Arabidopsis thaliana: one gene and its partners. The protein of the gene in region 2 interacts with the protein of the main gene of each other region in a pairwise test. Each region holds a gene or a part of one and is shown on either strand. Other genes may lie near its edges. The genes, in order: TCP2, CCA1, SRT1 and FHY3.

Region 1 (4,974 bases), on a different chromosome or scaffold from region 2:
TCAAGTAGCCCATGAAAGAAAAAGTTAAAAAAACTTATAATAATATAAACAGATCATAAGAAATAAAATCATGAAAATTTGGGAATAGCCATTGTTGAAGACAACAGCTGTCAAATGAAGAAGATATATTCATAAGATAGATAGATTATAAAAACAATACATATGGAGAGAGATGATGCTAAGGAAGAAGGGAACCAAACATAGAGCACAACAGGAGACAATTCATTTTGATTTTCACTCTCTTCAATGCATAATGGCCTTACCCTCAATTTTTCAGTTTTGTCTATCAAAATTATTTATTTCCCTGATTATTATGTATATTTTCTTTCTTTCTATTTTTATTTACAAGTTTTTTTTTGTCTCTTCACTTAATTTCTGTATTTTTTATTTTTTTGGGAAAATTCTTAATTTCTGTATTTAATTCTTCTGAGTATTTGATTTGATTCAATCTAGTACCTTAAAAGGATCGCCCTATTGCCTTGACCTACCATTTGTTCATGAATACCAAGAAACAGTATCTTCGTACTATAAACAATTTACTAAAGAAAAAAAAAATGCTAACTATACCAATTACATGGCAAAAATAACATTCAAAAATTCAATTATAAACTCACAAACAAAATGCTATTATCACAAATACAACATTACAAGCACAATGCAAAAAGATTTCCAAAGACCCTCAATACATAAAACAAAACCCTAACACACATCAGACAACGAAAGAGATTAACATTTGTTTTGAAATAAACCAAAGATAAACATACAAAATGAGCATTTGAACAAAACCAAAGATGCAATAATTAATATCATCAGTTCTTGCCTTTACCCTTATGTTCTGATGAGTTTCTGCATCCATTTTCATAGTAAAGCTGAAACTGGTGATTGTGGTGGTGATTCTCTGCAGGCAGTGCACCGAATAAGAACTGTGGACCTCCTCCACTTTCTGATGTTGGAAACCTCTGTAGATTAGCGAGGAATGACTGATGCTGATTTGTTGAATTGGACTGAAGGGTCCCCCTGTTGAAACCACTGAAGCCACCACCTGATGCGGCGGAGACGGCAGCTCCGGCGCCGGAGGGTGTTGACATATTAAAATCAAGATTGAATGCTCCGCCGTTGGATTCTGCCGGTGATATCAAATGGTCGGGAACGAATGAAAACTCTTGATGCTGATGATGAGGATGATGATGATGATGATCGGAGATTGATGAGAAAGGATGAGAATTTGTTGAAATAGGGAAATGGGTTTGTTGACCCGACCCGAGAATTAAACCCGAACTGAAATACTCCATTGGAGATGAAGAAGGAGCTGAAGCCATCCATTGCCGGTTTGAGTTAACCGGATCTGAACCGGAATTTAACAAATCCGTAAACGAAGTGTGGTTATGATCTCTTTCCTTGGTCTCTTTAGCTGTTCTCTCTCTAGCCCTCTCTCTAGCTTTATCTCTAAGCTCCGATCTTGATAAAGACAAACCAGAAGAGTTCTTGCTCGTGTCTGAATTGCTACTACAAGCAGATTTAGACAAGGAATTAGCAGCAACTGTTGTTAATGTCTGATTCTGGTGATTCTCGTCATCGGTCGGAAAATGAGTGTTGTTGAGTGAAGGAAGCTCAGAGATTGAATCTTCAGCAGCTTTGATTAACCATTCAACAGCTTTGCTAGGTTGATCATAACCTAACCGATCTTGAAGATCATAGAATTGAAGAGCGGTGGAGACTGATAACCGGACACGACGGTCACGTGGTCCTTTAGAAGTCAAGACTTTGCTGTGTCGATCTTTACCACCGGAAGCTCGTGAAACCCTAATTATCCGGGAAGAATTGTGATGCCACCGGCTTAACCGGTTGTTCACTTCGTTATCCACAACGTCGCCATTGTTGTTATTCTTCATTAGATCTCCAATCATTTCATCATCACCAATAATCTCATCACTAAAGAAAAAAAATTAGGGTTTTGTTTTTTTTTGGTTACCCCCAAAATTAAAAATCAAAACTTTAGGGTTGGTTTGGGATTTAAAGAAGGAGAAAAAAATGGGTTTTTGTTTTTGTTTTGTTTACCCACTGTACTTTGTAAGCATTGATGATGAATACCCTCAGAGGAAAAACCAAAAGAAGAAAAAAAATGTGTTTTTTTTTAAAATTAATTTAGGGTTTTTGATATTTCACCATCAAAGTCAGTAGATACAGCTTCGTATAAGCTTTGTCTGCAGCTGCTGTTGTTTGTTGCAGAGAGTCATCAAAAGCACTGTGTCTGAAATGATTTTTAACCACAAGCCTGCAATAACAAAAACAAAGAAACAATCTCATAAGAACAAATCTTTACACATATATATATACATAAATGCTTATATATATATATATATATGTTACATCCTTATCGACTTTTTCTACAGATGACTTTCATTCATATATACACATAATTAAGATATCAGTTATTCTGATTCGAATTTATGCTCTACTCATTGTAGATCTGACATATCACAACAATTGATAAAACGGGTTTAAAGTTAATGATCGTGATTAAAGAAGAAGGAGCTAGAAGAAGAATCAGAAGCTATGATAAATAATTAAGCTGAATCAACTGCTTTCGGCTGAAGCGATTATCAATGGAGGGCTTTAAAGAGTAAGAAGACAAAAAATGCAGAAATCGAGTTTTAAGCTTTTCTTCTCTATATAAAGATTTTGGTGTTTCTAATTATGAAAGAAAAAGAGTTGTTTCATAGTAACCAACAAGAAGATTAAATCAATTTAAAAATTCTTAAAAAGGAATCATTATTGATGTGTTCTGGATTCTATGCAGATCACAGGTGTCAAGCTCTTGGCTTTGAGATTATATGAAACCAAAATTTTAAAGCAAATTAAAGGAACAAATACACTTCTTTCTACAGTGAAATTCTCATCAAGAAATAAAAATCTTAGATCTAGAATTGTTTTTTTGGAATCAGAATTAAGTATAAACACGAAATTCAGATTCTTTCTATGAAAAAGATTGGTTTTTGTTTGTTTCTCGGAAAATTCGATGAGATAAATTGAGACTTACAGAAGAAACAGAGGAGCTTGAGCTTGGAGTTAGTAGTAGTAGGTGACGAAGAAAGAGGGCTATAGGGTTTTAGGGATTTGTATATAAGAAATAAAAATCCGAGAAAATTGGAATTTCTTTGATGGTGATTTTAAAGGAGTGATCATCAGATGGGGAGAGAGATATTGGGCATAAACTTTGATTTTATTTCCATTTTTGCCCTTCATTACATTACTTATTCACGGAATTGCCACGGTCCTCTACAAAATATCTGTATTAAATTATCATCCTCAGTAATTTGATTTCAGGTGAGAAAAATTATTTGATATTTTCGTTTGTTTTTGGCAATAAAAACACAAGAAAATATTTAAAGAAGTTTTTTTTGGCAGCTATTATATCAAGAAGTTGTGAACATAAATGCTATAGAAATGTTAGAAACAAATCAATGCGTGAATATGAGAAATCATATTATCTCATGTCACATGTATATTTATGTAGGAGAGGAGAACAAACAAAAAAACAATTCACTTTGTCCAAGTGTCCTTAGGATTTTAGTTTGTTCATAGAAATAGAATTCGATTAATACTCAATAATCTACTCTATGATATGTTTCGATCATAAAAAATGCTACATGTTTTATGTTTTCAAAATAGGTTTGGTCTATCATTCTTTACATGTAAAGCTCATGGTTTTCCACCAATTCCTTCGGAACATAGATTTAGATAGATAAAAGATTCATACCGCAATATAAACATATCTCTCATTCTCAAGCTAGTTTTCCAAGTTTTTATCTACTTGCTTTAAAAAAGGAACTCTCGCGGTCTCGCCTACACTCTTAGTCTTTTTGTTCTCCGACATGATTAATATTGTATATTCAGAACATTTTGCAGAGTAAACTCGACCCTCTCTCTTGAGCATAAAGCTCGAATCCTTCCTCTGTTTTTTTATTATCTATTTGGTTTGAGGTCTTTTAATTTTAGATATGTGAGTAAATTATTTATATTTTGTTTATGTGTTTAAAGTTTGCTTATGTTAATGAAATTTTTTTATAAAAAAATGCTACATGGAAATATATATACTGTCCGTATCATAACAATGTTAATTGTTATTTACCAAAAAAATATCTTTATTACGATAAAAACTTATACTATGAATCTTAGAAATTAGAAAAATTGTAACTATTATGTGTGAATTTCAAAAATTAATCAAATGAAAAATATGTCGTCAACGACCTTTTTAACTAAATTATCGTATAGGTCTTAGTCAGCCATTGCTCGGGTTCAAATTTGAAAAGTTTGGGATTTTATATAGAACAAAAAAAATAAAAATTTTATATGAGAAAATGTCTAAATTTAGCAGTTTTTATGATATTTTTCTATTTTTAACCATAACATGTACTAGCCTAATAAAAATATAAAAACAAATTTTATTTTGGAGACAATGCAAAACAATTATCAAAGTAAGCACATAATCCAAGCAAATATCTAAAAATTAAACAAACTATTTTAAAGTAGAAATAACTAAATTTCCGGGATAATGATATTTAAGGAAGAATGAAAACTATTTTAAAACCTATACATTTCTTTTCCACCTAACAAATCATATTGATAAAGAAATCCAAACCCCTATTTTAATAACTTACACTATGTCAATCCCACATCACATCACTAGAACTTCATGGAAAAAACACGCACAATTTAATTCAAGAATTAGTACAAATCGTTTGCAATTTTAATAATCTAGTAGTATTTTTTTAGTCAAGTGGTATTACACCATACTCTATTAACTTTAATAAGTACAGATTAGTTATTAGTTAATGTGGTTTGTGGAATTCAATAACTGCGATTAAGAACAAATGACGAAAAAGGGAAAGAAGTAGAGCAAGTGGTTCACGACGGTCTCGAGAGCACGTGTCGCTGTCTTAACGGACACTTGCTCACTTCTCGATCACTGTT
Region 2 (5,391 bases):
AACTAGATGTCTACAGAGAGACATTTAAAATGTTCGAGGAGCAGGGTTTCGACGTTGCAGAACCTTTATCACAGGTCCTCACGCTGTTAGTTCTCCGCAAGATGAGACGTGAATCCCTCAGACAACAAAAAGGGATGGAGAAAGAGATGGCAGATGATTATAGCAAGCTGAAAAAGAGTCTGGTGAGGTGCAAAAGCAGCTTTGAAGACAAGGAGACGGCCAAATAAAAGATATGGGGTCATTTCATGGGTGTGGTTGGATTTATCCTTATAACTTCTGTTTTTATTTAATCCTTTTTTGTAACAACTCTGTTGTACTTGCTACTGCTTGCCTTTGGCTGCTTGCCTTTCTATTTATGTGATGACATAAGGAAGTAGAGTTTGCTTATTTGTGTGGTGCTTTTGTGCTTACTTATGAGTTATGAGACAACTTAAGGGTGATGGATGGGCTAAGATTACGTTTTGGAACTCTGTCGTTTGCATATATCAAGAACAAGAGCCCCTTGAGTGAAGTTCTTTCCAGGTTGGAAAAAAAAAGATTAAACAGTTTATGATTTGTTGAATAATACAGAGTCAAATGTTACAGGAAGACTATGGACAAGGAAACAAATACAAAGGCCTCAAAAGAAAAAGAAAATGTAGCAGTGGTCTTGAAAACTTAAAAACAGAGTACAAACAACAGATCAGATGAAAATAGAGTCTCATGTGGAAGCTTGAGTTTCCAACCGCATCCGTTTGGGATCTTTCTGTTCCACATGAATGATAGGATTGTTGTTGAGGATTCTACTTTCTTTGGCTTCCATGGAACATCTTTTGTATGGTTTAAAACCTGTTCTTCCTCTACTCATTAGCTTTGAAGCATCTAATCCGATTCCAAGAAATCCTGTGTTTCTCTTCTCCTCTTGATCATCAACTGGTGTTAACTGAGCTGTGAAGTTAAGATCAAGTGCCATTGGATATCTTTGTTCTTGTTGTTGTTGTTCTTCCTCTCTGTGTTCTTCTCGATATGTAAAACTTTGCGGCAATACCTCTCTGGAGAAGAGAGCTTGGAAGGCAATTCGACCCTGAATGTACAATATTTATATGAGAAAATGATTTGAAATAAAGGAAGTTGATCTTTAGTCCAAGTAAGTACCTCGTCAGACACAGACTTCCATGGATCGGTTATATTGGAGCTGATTCTACTGCGGCGTGCATTGGACTCTGAAGTTTGAGGTTTATTAGTGTCTTCATTCGTTTCTTTCACCTCACCATTGGTGCCATCCTCTTGCCTTTCTGATGCATCCGCCTCAACATCATCACTACTCGACGGAGTGTTTGAGCCACACGAGGACCGGTCAACTTGTTTTCTGTCTCCTGCTCCATCTGAACCCTTTGCATCACTCTCAGGTGTTGCAGAAGGCTGCTCATGACAAACTGGTTTACTCTTATTTTCAACATCCTCTGAGTCCAGTGAAGATCGAGCCTTTGATGCCTCGGAGTGTTCTTGCTCTCGGCTCTGCACAGAACCATGTTGTAAAGTGCTTGCTTTTGTGTACTCTACATCACATGATGGTCCAAAAGTAGATGGAGGATGACTAGTGAAACCACCTGAACTAAGAGGAGCACATAAAGGTAATAATCCATTGGCAGCCCACCAAGCACTAGCAGCTGCAACAGTGGCTGCGGCCATGGCAGCCAGATTCGGAGGTGAGTTCCCTGGAACAGGTGAGCCACCACTAGAATCGGGAGGCCAAAATGATGAGGCGAAAGTTGCGGCAGTATAAAGAGCCGGTGTTTGTAAAAGGGTTGACATTATATGATTAGGAAACGACTGATAATCTCCTGCAACTGTGTGGGGATGACTATCTGGCTCTGAAGGAGGATGTGATAGAGAACTTGTTATTGAGCTCCCCAATGGCACTAGCACAGGGATATGCATCGGATAAGTCTGAGGTCCTTGCTCATTACCGTTTTCCAGAGATTTTGCATTCAAATCTGAGTTTGACTCCTTTCTTACCCTGTTATTCTGACTTCCCTGTTATTCCCCCACGGTTTTAGTTTCATGAAAAGTACTAATCGTCTTAAAACCTCAAATAGCAATGAAAGATTGTTTTTTACCTCTTCCCGTGAAGGCAAGAACTCGCGGAAAGTGCTTGCGTTTGATGTCTCTATACAACTTTTATTCATGGAGGATGCAGCAGAGAGATACTGATGAGTGAAACAATCTGAACAGTTGTCTTCCTGCAGAGTTTTCTCTTCAGGCTTTGATTGTTGTCGATCTTCATTGGCCATCTATAAACGAAGCACACAATCTGTATTAATAACATGAGGAGCAATGTGACACACTGCAAAAAGATGCCATATGACCATGAAAATCACCTCAGGATGCGACACTTTTTCTGATCCAAGGGACTCTTTTCCATCATTCACACCCGTTTTTGACATAAGGATCGTTCCACTTCCCGTCTTTCGAGGATAAGGATTGTTTGGTTTACGCTTAGGCCGTGGAGGAGGAATAGCTATGTCTAGCGCTTGACCCATAGCTACACCTTTAGCTTCAGCCTCTTTCTCTACCTGAGAGAGATGAGAGTAGTTTTGTTACCCTCTAAACAAACGTAAACAAACAAAAATCTAATGACACTAACAAGTTTAAATGACAGAACTGGAAAATCAAAAATGGTTTACCTCTATGGCTTATCACAAGGAACATTCAAAAATTTCTAGCACTCAGCCCACTTTTGCCACTACCTCAGAATCGGTAAGAAGACACAAGTTTATCTGAAGAATCTAAAGAAACTAACATTCTTCTGAAGAATCTATGTACATGTTTGTGGATTAACAAGATATAGGCATAAACAAAAGAAAACGATTACATCTCGTCATTTCTCCAACTATTTTAAGACTTATTGCTCATTACTAAACTCTAAAAACGTAATCTATCTATCTCCTGACTAAGAAGCAAAAGAAGCAGAAAACTTGCCTGGCTTTCAATAAGTCTTAAGCATTAAGCCAATGAAGATGAGAACATCATTTCAAAATTAACCGATTTTACCTTGGAGAAAAATTTCTGAGCGTGACTTCTTATCTGGACAGCAGTTTTTGTTGCTACATGTTCTGTCCAAATGAAAAAAAGCAAATCAGTTTGAAGACAAACCTCTGCAAACACAAAAAATAAGACATATAAAGGGAAATAAAAATCAACCTTCAATCTTCTGCCATGCTCTACCATAAAGCCTCAAAGCTTCAATGAATCTATTATGTTCTTCCTCAGTCCACCTTTCACGTTGCTTTGTTATCGTATATGGCTTCCGAGTCTATATCAAGTTTCATTAAAATTCTCAATCTTTGACACCTAAAACAATCATCTTCCCCCTAAAATTTAGTTTAATTTACCTTAATAACCAGATCTTCTCCAGACGAATTTGTCTCCATCACTAAGCTCCTCTACACAACTTCAGATCTTCTCTTTACAAAATTCCACTAATCCACAAAACAAAAAACAATCAAGTCAAGTTATTCATCAAACAATAAGAAAGACCATGACAATAAATCAATCTTAAGTACCTTTAGAGAGATGATTCAATGAAAGAAACAAAATCAGCTTGGATTCGATAAAGATTCCATTTTTAATTCCAGATTTCGTTGGATAAGAAAACAGTAAGAAATCGAGAAGAAGAAGAAGAAGAAGTGATTTGCTTTTGATCAATGAAACAAAGAAAAGAGACCAGAAGCTACGGAAATGGAGAAATCTCAGCCACTATAATTATCTTTAACCTCAAACTTTTTAATTTATTTATTTCGAGGCTACAAAAGAAACTGCCATATGTCAACATACTAGTGGCTGAAGAGATGATTCAGCTTTTGTTCAAGTTACATTCTTGTCCATCTTAACATCAACTTGTTCACAACCTTCTTTGTATTCTAGGCCACGAGTTCCGGGACTACCTGAAAGGTTAAAAAGGTCAATTCGTTATAATATCTTGATCTAGTGGGACCTACTTAAGATCGTTAATCTCTCCCACCAGTTTGTCGACACGTGTCTGATACACTAGAAACATCAGTGGACCCGGGAATCTAGACGACTACTTCACCAACAATCGAACGCGCATTCTCGTGCGGTTCACTACACGCGCTATTCTCACACTCTAATGGACCTAAACTTATTTGGGCCATAGTTTTATATTGGGCTTATTTTTTTTAGACCCATAAGGTTTTGTTCTTTTAGCATAAGGCCCATATCGTTATTCAACAGTTCAGCATTAAGCTAAGCTAACCATGCATGAAGGGTAGAAGACTAAATGGGGACAAAGTTTGAAATTTTGGAAAATGAAACAAAACATCTCATATATAGTCTTGAGGAATTTACAACACTTTGACATAAATGGATGATACTTTGAGCTAAAAAAGACCAGAGACAGAGAGAGAGAAAGGATGAAAATTATTTAGTTACAAGAAGGAAAGATTGAAGGAAGGACGTGGCCTTTGTGTTAGATTCTTTTGATATCCTTCATTCCAATTCATGAATGGCCTCAAAAAGGCTCTTCTTCTTCTTCTTCCTCCTTTGATTCAGCTGCTCCCTAATATGTCTTTGTATGTGCTCTTGACCTTCTCAAACAAAGCCTCCCTGAAACAGATAACAAACAATTTCCTCGAGAATTTGAGTCTTCCATTCTCAGTATTACATGCAACCAAACACAGAGTTAAAGAGAGAATTGGTTAACCTGTCTGGTTTGAAGACCAGGTTCTTGTAAGTGAACCACTGCCATAGAAAAACCAAATGTTAATAAGGTCCATCACACAATTGAAACAAACTACACACGTCTTTTAAGATTGAAACACTAGCGAGAAGCAGCAATCAATTTCTGATATCATATCTCCATATGAATTGCAGATGTTCGGATTCTAAATTCAGAGAACTAATCCTAAATCCAAAAGTGAAGTGATGAATCATCTATATCCTCAAAACAGGTTCATGAGAGCTTTGGTTCAAGTGATACAAAGAGAAGAAGAAACTCACTCCTGTGTAACCGATGCCTACAAGTTCAAGAACACCAGGAACCAATGGAAGCCTATCGATTGCCTGTTTCACAATAACAAATTTTGGAATCAAATAAAGGAAATTTAACACTAGGGTTTTAAGAAGAAAGTAGTATTCTTCTACTCACCGAAATCATTCCAGCAGAACCCCAAAGAGCCACTACACCAGCAAAGGCAAGAGAACCAATAGCGTACTTGTCATCCACTTTCTCCCACTTCAATCCAAACAACCAAATTCAGTACATGTAACCCAGAAGCAAGAGGTAGAATCATCATTGTATAAATAAAGTAAGAGTATTTACAGCTTCTTGAGCAGTCTTGACGATTTCAGGTAACTCAGTAGTCTCAGCTTCGGTAGTAGTGGCAGGAGCTT
Region 3 (6,261 bases), on a different chromosome or scaffold from region 2:
TCATGAATATAGATTTCTATTTTACTTTCATTTGAGAGGAGACCATCTCTTGATGTCAAACAAAAAACGAAATTTTTTTTGAATCTTTTATTTATTCCTTAATTCCTAACAGTTAAAAGTTGTCAAACAAAAAAGTTGCAATCAATATTGTGAAAAAAAAAAAAAAAGTTTCGCTTGACACATGTTCCCACTTGAAATATTAATTGCCACTTGGAAAAAATAATCCCTTGAAAATGAAAAACATAATTATCCTTTTATTCAATAAAAAAACATAAAAAAAAAAAAAGAATTCTAACTGACGATGTCATATAAGTACAGCTAACTTTCGTTGATTTGTTTTACATTATTTGCATATTATATTAAAATAGAACAGTACAATGTATATCTAAATTATGTACTATAACATCTTTTCTTGATCATTATTAATTGTTCACCACTAGGTTTTTAAAGCTAAAATAGCAACAGTACTGGATTATTGAGAGCATGTCGTTTTATGTATTTTTCAAATCCGAGATTCCTACCAGTCGACAGATTCTGGCATCGCTTGATCATCTTGTAAATTTTTTTTAATAATATTTCGAATGCACTAGCTTCTACAAAAATCAACCGATACTAAACGACAACGAACCAAGATTATCTCTTTCAATTCCTGGTTAACTTTTGTTTCAAGAGAACCGAATGTGGACCAAAAACAAAATTCACTCAGCTCTCAAAACGCCAATAACTTCCATATTACCTATTCCGGTTAGACTAGTGTTTCTTTATATACACCAAAAGCTTTCTTTTCTTCTTCCTATGCCTTGGTTTCTTCTGCCAGAGCCTTCGATTTTCGCTTCCCGGTTCTAGAGCGTTTACGGGATGTTCCAGAACCTTCCAGCTTCCATTTCAGGTCTCCATTAGCAAGCAGAGATTGTTGACTATGGTAAGTCCTGAGACTAGTCACCGTAGCATACACAACAGCCTCACTTCTCGGTTCAGAAACCACTCTTCTCTCAACCACACCGCTTTGCCCGCAACTGGATTCTTCTACCGCTTTCTCTCTCAGGCTTTGTAGCACAGCCTCCTTGTCAATAATCTCTACATGCTCTTCTGTTGAAATCTACACAGGTTATTTGAAAATGTTGTGAGAAAAATGGTCATGAGTCAAGATAACAAAGATCTTTTATGGATCGTAATAAACCTTGAATTCAAATGGGAGGCTAAGTTGAGTGGAGACACAGTCACAACCGTCACTGTAGTTAACTTTAAAGAATATATCAAAAGTTTCGTTTCGTGCTGTTCTCCTGAAAGAGGATGAGAATATATATAAGAGTTAGAAATAGGACAAGAAACTGATTTCTAAGAAGAGGTTAGTTTTACCTTTTCATAAGAAAAGGCTGCTTATCGAGAACTGCGTCTTTGTAATTATGGTTATCTGAGAAAGAAACCTGTATTGCAAATGAAAAATATCAGAAAAATTGAATTTGATTGTTTTGGCATTGGTTTAGTAGTTTCTAGAGATTACCTCAATAGACTTGATGAATGGTAACTGAGAAGTCAATCCATGAACACTCGCAACACGCAGGGTCCAATTAATAAACCTCTGATCTGTAACAGAAATGAAAAACATGTGAGTGAGAGCTATGAAGCCTAACATCATTAATAAAAAGTTTGACACACCCAATTACAGTGCAGGACAAGACATATATGTTGCACAAAAACCATGAAAGATTCAGGAAAAGCTACCTCCGCTTATAGATTGAGTTAGGATTATCTGGAAAAGATCAATTCTGACATATGGAGGAATCTTCATGTTGAGCGATTCCATGACCCCTGCAACCACCTGCACATCAGAATAATGAAGGGAAAAAATCTATAAGACTCAAGTTGGGGCACAGTGCTGAAGGTAATCTGTTAAACATCACTTAGGTTATGTCCAGAATTTTTGAAAACAACAAAACGTAAATCTTACCTTATCAACAAGACCATGAATCACTACATTTGCTTTCTTGTCTTTCGGTGTTTTCTGAAAGGGTAAATATAATCAGTCACAAACTACACAGTCCAGAAAACTCATTCTGCCATATACATTCCAGAGAAAATATCAGCAAACGGAGAAAATTTCATTTACATATATGGCGCGCATTAAATCTCGTGCACATGAACAAAATAAACAATTACCTGAAGATTAACTATGACGATCTTGCCTCCACCTTTGAGACACTTGAGAGGCAAATTGCAAGCAGGGGTTATCTGCAAACTGCATAAAGAGGTTAGACACATATAACAAACAAAATGCAACATACTCTAGAGAAGAGAGTTGTTTGGCTAACTGATCAAAAGTGTTAAGGAAACAAACATGAGAGTTCCTATGAGTCATTAATTACCTGGTACCCAAACAGAGTACAAGATCAGCCTTTTTGCAGTGCTTCTCCGCAGGATCAATTTCTTTTGGAGGCAAAGCATCCTGCAGCATAAGAGTCATATAAAGAAAGTTTCATAATTCAGTTTCTTAAATTCTTTAACTACATAAAAAGGTAAAACTGGTGGACTCTGATTCAAAGGCAACGCTTTCGTGTTACCTCCCAATCCAAGACCGTATCTTTAAGTTTAGCTCCACACTTTTCAACAGAACACTTTCTTGATGTCTCCTTTAATCCAATAGTTTCCACCTCGAAATCACGCAGGTACCTTCGAAATTTCAAGAAAGGTTGTTACCATTTATGGTCCAATATACGGATAGATTATGACAGCTCTCAATCACAAGGGGTCACAGTATAAGAGAAACGCAATAACATATTTTTGGCTTACTCTGCTCCACATGATGGGCACATCTCCATAAAAGAGTCTCCATGCAGTTCAGAAAGCTTCTCTCTTGGTATTCCAGATCGAAGATGTAAGCCATCCACATTCTGATCATTTATGAAGGCAGCATATAAGTGAAATTAGAAATGTAAACATGAAGACAAGATCCTATCAGTGTTCAAGCACGGTAGTTATAAAGTAATTCTGTAGGGAAAAGAGGATAACCTGACTGATAACAAATTTTAAAATGCCAGCTCTTTCTAATTCAACCAAAGCCATATGGGTCATACTCGGCATTGCACGGTGAAATGGCAGAGATGCTTTAGGTAAATCTTTGCCCTCGCGCTGAAACCATTAAACACGGATCACAAGAGTTAACTTTCAAGAGATGATGCTTTACAAAAGACAAGTATATTAGCCACATAATCCAAGACAATGCAATCAAGTCAAGAAGTGATGATAACAGACCAATCAATGACAGAATTCAAAATCAAATCACTCGAGCAGATAGTCAAAGAAAAGAGGATTAAATGGCCTTAGCTCACACCTGTAACGTCCAAATTCCTTTGGGGCCTCGGAAATCAGGAATACCACAAGAAGTTGAAATGCCTGCACCAGTAAAGACTACTAGATGCTTACTCTGCAAACATCAAACCAGCCTTCTTAAAGATACTTAAATAACAACAAGAAACCAAAAACATATATTCAAAAGCACCAAGAAGAATACGAAAGAGGGTAAAGATTCAAACCTTTTGAATCAACTTAGCAAGTTCTTCAATCTGCATTTCCAAAGACAAACACCAGAGTTAGCACAATAGTGAAATAAACAATAAACACGCCAAGATCTAGCAACCAAATCCTTTTATCAGACCTTTTGGCTTGTTAGATAAAACAATGATAAACAAACAGTCAAAATCTCCACACAAATTTGAATCCAGACAACGGTTTTCACATAATCAGTAAATAAAATCACATAATCTTAAGATGCTTGTTATCACCAAATTTCATTCTTCAATTAACACAACACAATGCAAGTCTAAAAACAGGTACTGTATAACCTAAAACTAGATTATATGAATCATTAAGTACTAATCATTCTCCAACTCTTCAACAACTCTTCACGACCATCCAAACGACAAATATAAAAACTTAAAGGCTTAATATGAACCTACGATCCAAAATCAAACACTAGGACAGAACACAAGAAGGATCAACTCTAAAATCTAAACAGCTAAGCGATTAATCCAGAGAAAAAATCAACGCAACGTGAAATTATACAGAATCTCGAGAAAAATAGAGTAAACCCACAAAACCCCAGGAGGAGAAGGAAACAAAAAATAGAAACCTTGCATTGTAGAAGATGAGATGGGTCGAAGAATTCAGCCATGCCGACTTGACCAACATCTTCAATGAAGGATAATTTCTCTGCGTAACCTAAAGACATTTAGGTTTTGTCTTCTCTTTTGGACAAGAAGAAGAACACCTTCTCTGCCTCTCGATGTATAAAAAAGCAGAGACTTGGACAGTGACTTCTATTTATGAAGTATCAATATATTTTAATTCTTTTTATTATGATTTTATTATTATATGCAATCTGGAATATTTTTTTTGACATTTCTCAGAATATCAGAGATTTTAGATTTTAAAAGTGTTGCTAAATTTTTATATAACATTTCTTTATTATGTTTCCCTGATAAACCTAAAGTTTGTGATATTTAAATGAAAATCCAAATTAGGGTATTAATTGGATTCATATAAAACTTATTTTATGGCATGTTATTATATTTCTCAAATTTGTTTAGTTTGGCTAAACAAAAATTTGATATAAGAAAAACATTAATTACATTAACCTAAAATATCATAGCTAAATTAAGTGGGTGATATCATTGCAACTTTTAATACATTTCACCAATTTTTATCTATATATCATTTATTTATTTTTACTTTTTTTATGTAATCATGAAATTATGAATATGTGATCCATAATCTCTTTAGTCCCAGAATTAGACTGATAATATTTGTGTCAAGCTCACGGTTGTAGATCATCTTATAACAAAACTTGAACTCGGTTTCGGTATCCTTGAATCATTGTAAACAACATTCATCTAATTGGTTAAACCAATACAATGAGTTATTAAATAAGTAAATTTATCGTCTTGTTATTATTTAAAATATATAGGTAAATGTCAACACATTGAATATTGAAACCATTTGATAAAGTGGGTTGTAATTTGTAAAATACTAAACCATATGACAGGGTTTACTATGGATTTAAATTGATTCTATGTGACGTTCTGGTGCATGCTCAACCATGAGCTTATATTAGATTAAAATCTTGTTCTATCGAACCGGTTTGAAACTCATCACTCAAAGCCATTTTGAATTCAGTTTGGTGAATAAACTTATAACATATCTAAGTTTCATAAATAAGTATTGTTATATATCATCAATTTATTTATCAAGATTAACATACCTCACACAGTTTTTTAATAAAAAACATGCAGCATGCAGACTTAAATATGGGTTATGTTAGTCCTCATTCCACTCTCGACAAGACCACAACCCACACCATCAGAATTAATATTTCCTCGGATACAATACTGTCCGAAAGTGTAGTCACACCTCAACACTAGCTTGTGCATCATTTGAAAAGTAGTTGAATCCTACAACAGACTAGTCAAAACAAACTCACCCAGCACCATGAATGCACAAGCAAATCATGAGTTTGGTGGATACTTTTTCCAAACTTGTCCAAAAAGCCATCATCGATGGTAATTTCAAAGCGAGGGTTAAAGTTATCATAATTAAGCAGTTTATTGTGAAGGCTAGCACCTTACTAACAAATGACCCTCATCAACTTTTTTCTGGTTGCTCTTGTCAGCCTTCACTACATGGGCCAGAGCGATTGAATGTAATTGCAACTCGGGAGCATGCAACAGCTTAGTTGGAGCCACATATTATCCATCGTGTAAACCCCGTCTTCAACGTAAAATTTGATTATTTGATTACTTGAAACAATTCATAGTTCTTCATCTTTCCCATAGCAAAAGATTCATTCGACTTGTCACAATTATCTTAAAACTCATGTTACTCATAATCCATCTTCTTTGGGACATCTATTGATGAAAATGGTACCGATCGGTATATATCTATATATTCCAAAGTAATACAAATGCGTTTTAATTTGTCATTACATGACAAAAATTTGTCTACATCAGCTAAAAGACACAAACGTTTTCTTCAGAAATCCTCCAACACCCCCGACATGTGTAATGCCATGCGGCAGATAATACGAAACCGAGGAAAAAATTCATCTCTTTTTATTATAAATCTCAAAACCAAAGACCAAACACTCATCATTTTCTCTAAGTCATCATCATGTTGTCTCTTCAAGCTTCTCTCTCTGTTCCTCTTATTACCTTTTATCTATCACTTTTAAACTGTGTCAATCTAAACTCAGCTTTGGATTCAAACGCT
Region 4 (6,434 bases), on a different chromosome or scaffold from region 2:
AAGTTTTTACATGTGACCAGAATTTTTTTGGAACAATAAACGAAAAATGAGTCTCAATTGCAAGAGAGTCTTGCTTGATATGTAAGAAAAAAAGCATTTTCCTTAGGCCACTAAAAAATAATCAAATAAAACGCCACATTTTTTTTCTACATATATCACATTTTTAATGTGTTTTAGGACTTTATTTTGAAAACAAAATTCATCTCTTTAACATTTATAGAAATTTTTGTTTGTTTTTTTACATTAAATTACTAAATCGTATTTATTCATTAATGTTTTTTTTAATAACAGTATTTAAATAATTTCTTCTATACAAAATAGAATGTTAGGCCACATTTTAATAATTTGCCTAAAAGCTCTATTTGCCAAAAGAAGAGAAAAATTGTTTATGATTACTCAAAAATAATAATAATAAATTTATGATCCTTCTCTGATTTTAAAGAATTTTATATTTATACTATGTAACCCTCTCTCCTCTCTTCAACAAGATTCAAACCGCCAATAGCATACCACAATTTTGTTTGTAATTTGGGCAAGATTAATCACAAGATACAAATTTGAGAAACCTAATCAAGAGAATTAACAAGAGTTTACAAATAGAGAATATTCTTGTAACACTGTTTCTTCACCTCTTAAATCGAACAGTCAAATGATCAAACATATGATCATCAGAACTAATACAAACAATATTAACAGAATCGAATCTCTGAGAATAAAGGCGAAACAATACAACATCCTATTTTTAACACTTGAGAAGATAAAACAGAGCTTTGGCTCATGTTCTGTTCCAAACCTAACCGCGTCCTAGTGCTCGTTGGCTTTTGTTCTCCGAGATTTGAATCTTTCATCCACAGACTGACGACTCTTAAGATTTGATTCGTGGTTAACTTATAGTTTTGTTTACGAGTGTCTAGACGCGTCCTCATGCAACTGCGTAGTCCTCACATTAGGATCATCCTGCACAGAAATCACCATGAACTAAGATGACCAATTGATACAAACAGGAAAAAGAAAGATCTTTTATTACAACTGCAATAGTTACCCGGATGTCGTAAGAAAAATTGGCAGGCCTGAAGAAATCTACTCCCTAGAAAGAACAAAGTAAGATTTTACTTTTTTGGCAGTCTTGTTACAAGATTGACAAAACTTATGAAAGCATTGAGAATAGGTATGTAGGTACCTGTCCATGGATGCCTTGCTGAGGACCGTAGTAACTGTCGTAGCTTGGTGCTATCGAGTTCAACTGTCGCTACAGAAAACCAGCCGGAATTGTTTTTTTATCCAAAGTTAATGAAATAGAAAACAGCAGAAGCTACTTATACACATGTCATGGTCGATTTCATACCAATCCTTGCATTGTTTGTTGATTCCCATAGAAATTATCGCGAGTTGGCCCCATTAAGTTCAGCTGGACCTGTAAAAACACATATCAAAACAGATTACATACGTATCTAGATAATAATATGAACGTATGTTGTGCTTAATTACCATTCCTTGTACGCTCTGCTGTGTTCCATAATAGCTTTCAATGCCAACCGTCCTTGGGCTCAGCTTATCCTGCAATTACAAAATTCAGATATGACATACTTAGGCGACTTGTGTTTAAAAGAGGCTTGCCACGACATGTCAACAAAGACAGACCATCTGTTGCAAGCTTTCTGGCGCTGCAACTGGCATAACATCCTGCTCTGGGTTCACCTGAAATTAGTATTTGGTATCATCAAATTTGCAAAGCATAAAAGCGCAAAGCGAACAAAATCCATAAGCTGTCTGCACAGAGAGATCGTAAACAAGTAAGTTACTTTTCTTTTCTTAGTTGGATTCTTTTTCTTGCTGGTTTTGCCTGCACTTCTGCTATGGTTGTCCTCCTCCACAGAAATCAGACCTTGAGTTGGTGACGTTACAACATCTGGAAGACTTCTGCCGGAAGTATTAATACCAGCACAGTTTCCTATAGCTCCTTCAATAGCAAGGAATGCAATATTGTAACTCTCTTGAGAGAGGGATGCCTCTTCATTCAGCTTTAATGCTCGTTCGCACAAATCGTTATACCGCAGCAGCCTAGTCTGCAACTGCTGAGGTTCTCCTGAAAAATGCCGGCTTTTTGCATCTTTTGTCCACCGCTTCAATATGTACTGCGAGGGGATGGAAGAAAGATGACAACACTGAAGAACATTAAGAGTGTGTCTGCAGAGATACCCTTTATACTCAAATAACCGACAGATGCAAGAGACTTCAGCCTTTGTTTGGTTCCATGTTACCATGAAGTCTTGGTTGTTTTCAAAATCCTGCACTCTAAAAGTAGAACATGTGGCATCTCGGTTCTCCTCCCTAGGACTACACGCAATCGCACCCAAAACTTCAATCTGGAACTTTTTGAAAACTGCAGGAGTATAGACTTCAGAAACACTCTTCTCAAATGGCGATGGAGACTTCATTGCTGGCTGCTTGTTCCACATTTCAGAATCAGCTTTGGCTTCTTCTTCACATCTATCTTGCAAAACTGTATCATATACCTTTACAAATTCTTGTACACTAGTCTTCTTATGCATATACTTGTCGAAGAAAGCATTAATACTATCAGCTCGTTGAGATGTAGACATCCCAGCCAAAAGAACATCAGTCATGTAGGTTGGTGCCCATTTCTTGCGGTCTTCATATAAAGAAATCATCCATTGATCATCTTTGAGGCCGAATCTAGCAAGATTCTTATACCATTTTCTCGCAAAGTCTTCATCTTTCCCTGATTTATAGATGCACTTCTCAAACTTAGGCATAAAATTATCATGTTGCTTAACAACTTGACCAAGATTCTCAGAAACCTTCATCAATACATGCCAAAGAAAAAGGCAATGCCGTGTATTGGGGAAGATTTCGGGAACAATGGAGTTCATTACAACGTCTAGCTCAGTGATCAAAACCTTTGGAGCTTGTCCACCGATTGCTCTCAGCCAGGTCTCCATTAACCAAGAATATGTTGCTGCACTCTCATCGGATATTAAGGCGCACCCAAGGACCATATACTGGTAGTGCTGGTTCACTCCAACAAAAATAGCAAGTGGCATCTTGTACTTGTTTCTTACGTAGGTGGTGTCTAGAGAAACAACATCACAAAAACTGCCATAGTTATGCCTGCTCTTTGCATCTACCCAAAATACATTCTTCACTCGCTGATCATCGCCCAGATCTACTGCATAAAAGAAGTTGGAATTCAAGGATTGCATCCGTGACAAGAAGTCAAGCAGGATTTTGAAATCCCCTGTTTCCACTGATAAAGTCCGACCTTTTTCAAAAGAACTTTTCGAATCGCTTTTTAGACTTATAACAGTTTTGTACTCAGCAAACTGCTTAGCCATTGCAGCATATATCTTTCTGGTCTGTTCACTCACAGCTTGTGCAGGTAAAAGCTCATGATTATGCTCCCTCACAAAGCTGTGAATTACCCATTTCCCATCCGGCCTTCTCTTAACATGCATACTAGCTTTGCAATCGGTTTTCGCACATGTTCTCCTACCAGCCATATTCTCTGGATCTTGCTTACTTTGTCTAGCTCGTGGCCGATTAAAAGATTTGTCATATTCTCTTTTAGTACCATACCTAGAGCAAGCAAACTTCGCATCAATAAACTCTCTTGTAGTTTTCGATCTACGACTGTTCTGTATCGCAGTGTTAAACCCCATAGCTCGAGAATACTCCTGGTAAAACGAATACGCTTCACCGTGTGACTCAAACTCCATACCATTAAGAGGTTCAAGATTCATACCCTCAGTGTACTCAACCAACTCCCCAGTTGGAACACCCATGCCTACACTGTCATCAGTATTAACCTCAACAGAAACATCCTCAATTTTGCCAATATCCATATCTTCTTCATTGTGTAACACATTATCAAGTCCTCTATCCTCATCATCTCCTTTGCAAAGGTCACCTGAATGTAGTCGAAGATCTATATCCATGACAAACCTATAGTCTCAGGCAAAACAAACGTCTTACAACACTGCAAGACAAAATCTAGGTCTCAGTACATATATCTAGGTCAAAATGTATACTAAAGTCACACACAAAAGATGTAACAAACCAGAGAAACCCATCAAAATTCAATCTTTCTATGATGATAAATCGAGAAAGTATACACATTTTGCCCTTACAATTGCAGAAAAAAGCAACTTGCAGCTAAATTCTTAGTGGGTATTTCATCACATAAACGAAATCCTCAAATCCAATTCCTAAAACGAAGCTGATCAAAACTACTGTATAACCCAATCATTTGTGTTGGTTATCACTATAAAACAAAAACAAAAAATAAAAATGAAAACTTTACCTCGTACGAAACAGAAGATATACGAATCGGAGCAGAAACTGAGAAAAGGCCGTCTCTTTTTAATCTCTTCGTCGTCGAGAGGAGGAAGAAGAAGAAGACAACACGCGCCAATCGGGTGCGAGTTGGGGTATCGATCTGCGAAAAGGAGATAGAGAAGAAGAAGAGAGAAAGAGAAGAAAAATTGGTGAGTGGTGTTCACGCGATCTGAGGAAGCGAGTGGGCGGAAGATCCACGATTCGTTCTTTTGGTGTCTAGGGTTTCTTCTTCTTCTTCTCTCTGTCTAAACGCATCACCATGTTTTTTGATAATAATAATATCTCTATCCATTTATTTATGTTATTAATAAAATAAAATTAGAAAGAAAAAAAAAAACTGTTTTTGTTTGAAATTTTGTGCAACGCGCATGCCAAAACAAAAATTGGAGGGAAGCGTGAATAATGGGAATGATGAGATTTACTTACATCTATAAGAGTAGACTTGTTTAGGCTTTTAAAATTTGTTTGGTCCACTCTAAGACTAAGACTTGTTTGAATTATTTTATTTTGTATTTCTAAGTATTTACTATGGTGAAAACTGAAACATTACGGTGAATTACAAAAAAAAATCATAGTAAACTATTCAAAATATTTTTTTGTTATTTACAAACTATCAGTTTTGAATTTGGACTATATATATATATATATATTAGTAAATGCTTTTACCAACTTTCAATAGCCAAGAGCCAATTGGTATGACTATTTCAGAATTGGATTAATTTATTATATTTGATCCAAAATAAAAAGATCAATAGCCGTCCAAAAAAATAAATAAATCAATAGCCACTCATTAGCATGAGTCACTGTTCTTTTTAATTTTGTACATATAGATTAGCTCAGTCTTAAAAACCATAGTTATAATTAGTCCCACTAATGTTAAAAAGTTTGGTAAAAAAAAAATTATTTCCTAACTTTTTTTTACATATTAGCTACAATAAAATAAATACCATTTTTGGAAATATTTTATGAATTCAAAATAAATTTCATAAAATATCATAATCAATAGCCAATAGCCAGTTGGTAATTTACTATTTCCGACATGATTTAATTTAATACAGCATATATTTTTTGACAAAAAGCCAGCCAATATCCTGAAATTTAATTATAATTATGCCAAAATTATTTATAATACCAAAATTATTTATAATTAATTATCCACTAATGTAAAAGTTGGGTCAACCATTTGGACTTAATTAAGACTAAACCTGCCACAGTAACAGAGAGAGACGATATTTTCTCAGTCCCTTTCCCTTTTCAACGAGCAACAACACTCTTCACTTAATCGCTCCGGCGGTGGCGAACGGCAACGTGACGGTGACGTTGTCGGAAAATTAGAGTTTGTTTATCTTTGCTTATTGTTGTTGGAGAAGAAGGTATGGTGAGGAAACACGGTTGGCAACTTCCCGCTCACACTCTTCAGGTAAAATCGAATGTAACCTTTCTCTATAGCCAAAGCTTCAATTTTTCATGAATCTGCTCAATCTAAAGTCACCAATGGCTGTGATTTCAATTGGGTTCTGTGTATTTTTCTTCTCAGGTGATTGCAATTACGGTGTTTTGCTTGTTGGTGGTCGCTTTCTATGCTTTCTTCGCTCCTTTTGTTGGAGGTCGTATTTGGGAATACGTTTTGATCGGTGTTTACTCTCCCGTGGTATGTTTAATGCTTCTCAAGCTAGTAGTGTTTATGATCAGAATCAATTTTGCAAATTCATAACGAGTTTTGGATTCCACAGCTGTGTAGTTTATGGCATTGATCTTATCTGATAGGTTCCTTTATGTATCGTGTGTGTTTTTGCAGGCTATTCTTGTGTTTGTTTTGTATGTTCGGTGTACTGCAATCAATCCTGCGGATCCGAGAATCATGTCGATATTTGATACAGGCGTGAATGGAGATGGCATGGTTCGTGGCTTATCAAGGAATTATGATGAAACTGGTAGTCAGTTGCAGGCTTCTCCTTCGGTTGTCAGTAGGAGTTCTACCGTGGCTGGAAACTCTAGTGTGAAAGGTTCTGTAGAAGATGCTCAAAGAGTGGAATCTGTAAGTAGAAGATCTTGCTATAATCCTCTGGCAGTTTTCT

What was found.
Region 1: the proteins of CCA1 (region 2) and TCP2 interact in a two-hybrid assay, tested with the Arabidopsis thaliana proteins (one study listed by BioGRID).
Region 3: the proteins of CCA1 (region 2) and SRT1 interact in a two-hybrid assay, tested with the Arabidopsis thaliana proteins (one study listed by BioGRID).
Region 4: the proteins of CCA1 (region 2) and FHY3 interact in a two-hybrid assay, tested with the Arabidopsis thaliana proteins (one study listed by BioGRID).

Annotation. Positions count from the first base shown.
Region 1 is NC_003075.7:10,162,403-10,167,376, forward strand, and holds TCP2 (TEOSINTE BRANCHED 1, cycloidea and PCF transcription factor 2), read right to left. Parts: upstream 3,182-4,974; 5' UTR 3,041-3,181; intron 2,276-3,040; 5' UTR 1,908-2,275; coding exon 810-1,907; 3' UTR 520-809; downstream 1-519. UniProt on the Arabidopsis thaliana protein: Plays a pivotal role in the control of morphogenesis of shoot organs by negatively regulating the expression of boundary-specific genes such as CUC genes, probably through the induction of miRNA (e.g. miR164). Participates in ovule development.
Region 2 is NC_003071.7:19,244,027-19,249,417, reverse strand, and holds CCA1 (circadian clock associated 1), read right to left. Parts: upstream 3,828-5,391; 5' UTR 3,546-3,827; intron 3,462-3,545; 5' UTR 3,414-3,461; coding exon 3,375-3,413; intron 3,296-3,374; coding exon 3,184-3,295; intron 3,096-3,183; coding exon 3,034-3,095; exon of another isoform or gene 2,667-3,033; intron 2,556-2,666; coding exon 2,361-2,555; intron 2,274-2,360; coding exon 2,100-2,273; intron 2,017-2,099; coding exon 1,135-2,016; intron 1,064-1,134; coding exon 701-1,063; 3' UTR 503-700; downstream 1-502. Other genes in the region: DUF4 (hypothetical protein (DOMAIN OF UNKNOWN FUNCTION 724 4)), read left to right, coding at 1-227; PSI-P (photosystem I P subunit), read right to left, coding at 4,548-4,605, 4,703-4,740, 4,999-5,061, 5,147-5,233, 5,321-5,391. UniProt on the Arabidopsis thaliana protein: Transcription factor involved in the circadian clock and in the phytochrome regulation. Binds to the promoter regions of APRR1/TOC1 and TCP21/CHE to repress their transcription. Binds to the promoter regions of CAB2A and CAB2B to promote their transcription.
Region 3 is NC_003076.8:22,565,249-22,571,509, reverse strand, and holds SRT1 (sirtuin 1), read right to left. Parts: upstream 4,289-6,261; 5' UTR 4,229-4,288; coding exon 4,130-4,228; intron 3,564-4,129; coding exon 3,534-3,563; intron 3,425-3,533; coding exon 3,332-3,424; intron 3,130-3,331; coding exon 3,010-3,129; intron 2,892-3,009; coding exon 2,791-2,891; intron 2,671-2,790; coding exon 2,562-2,670; intron 2,447-2,561; coding exon 2,367-2,446; intron 2,240-2,366; coding exon 2,161-2,239; intron 2,006-2,160; coding exon 1,952-2,005; intron 1,823-1,951; coding exon 1,726-1,822; intron 1,588-1,725; coding exon 1,505-1,587; intron 1,428-1,504; coding exon 1,360-1,427; intron 1,284-1,359; coding exon 1,181-1,283; intron 1,100-1,180; coding exon 794-1,099; 3' UTR 502-793; downstream 1-501. Other genes in the region: AT5G55750 (hydroxyproline-rich glycoprotein family protein), read left to right, coding at 5,489-5,555, 5,666-5,770. UniProt on the Arabidopsis thaliana protein: NAD-dependent protein deacetylase. Has deacetylase activity towards H3K9Ac. May have a function in the safeguard against genome instability and DNA damage to ensure plant cell growth.
Region 4 is NC_003074.8:7,821,459-7,827,892, forward strand, and holds FHY3 (far-red elongated hypocotyls 3), read right to left. Parts: upstream 4,739-6,434; 5' UTR 4,322-4,738; intron 3,998-4,321; 5' UTR 3,957-3,997; coding exon 1,803-3,956; intron 1,699-1,802; coding exon 1,642-1,698; intron 1,558-1,641; coding exon 1,489-1,557; intron 1,415-1,488; coding exon 1,346-1,414; intron 1,250-1,345; coding exon 1,181-1,249; intron 1,088-1,180; coding exon 1,043-1,087; intron 958-1,042; coding exon 901-957; 3' UTR 539-900; downstream 1-538. Other genes in the region: AT3G22180 (DHHC-type zinc finger family protein), read left to right, coding at 5,732-5,776, 5,894-6,007, 6,155-6,434.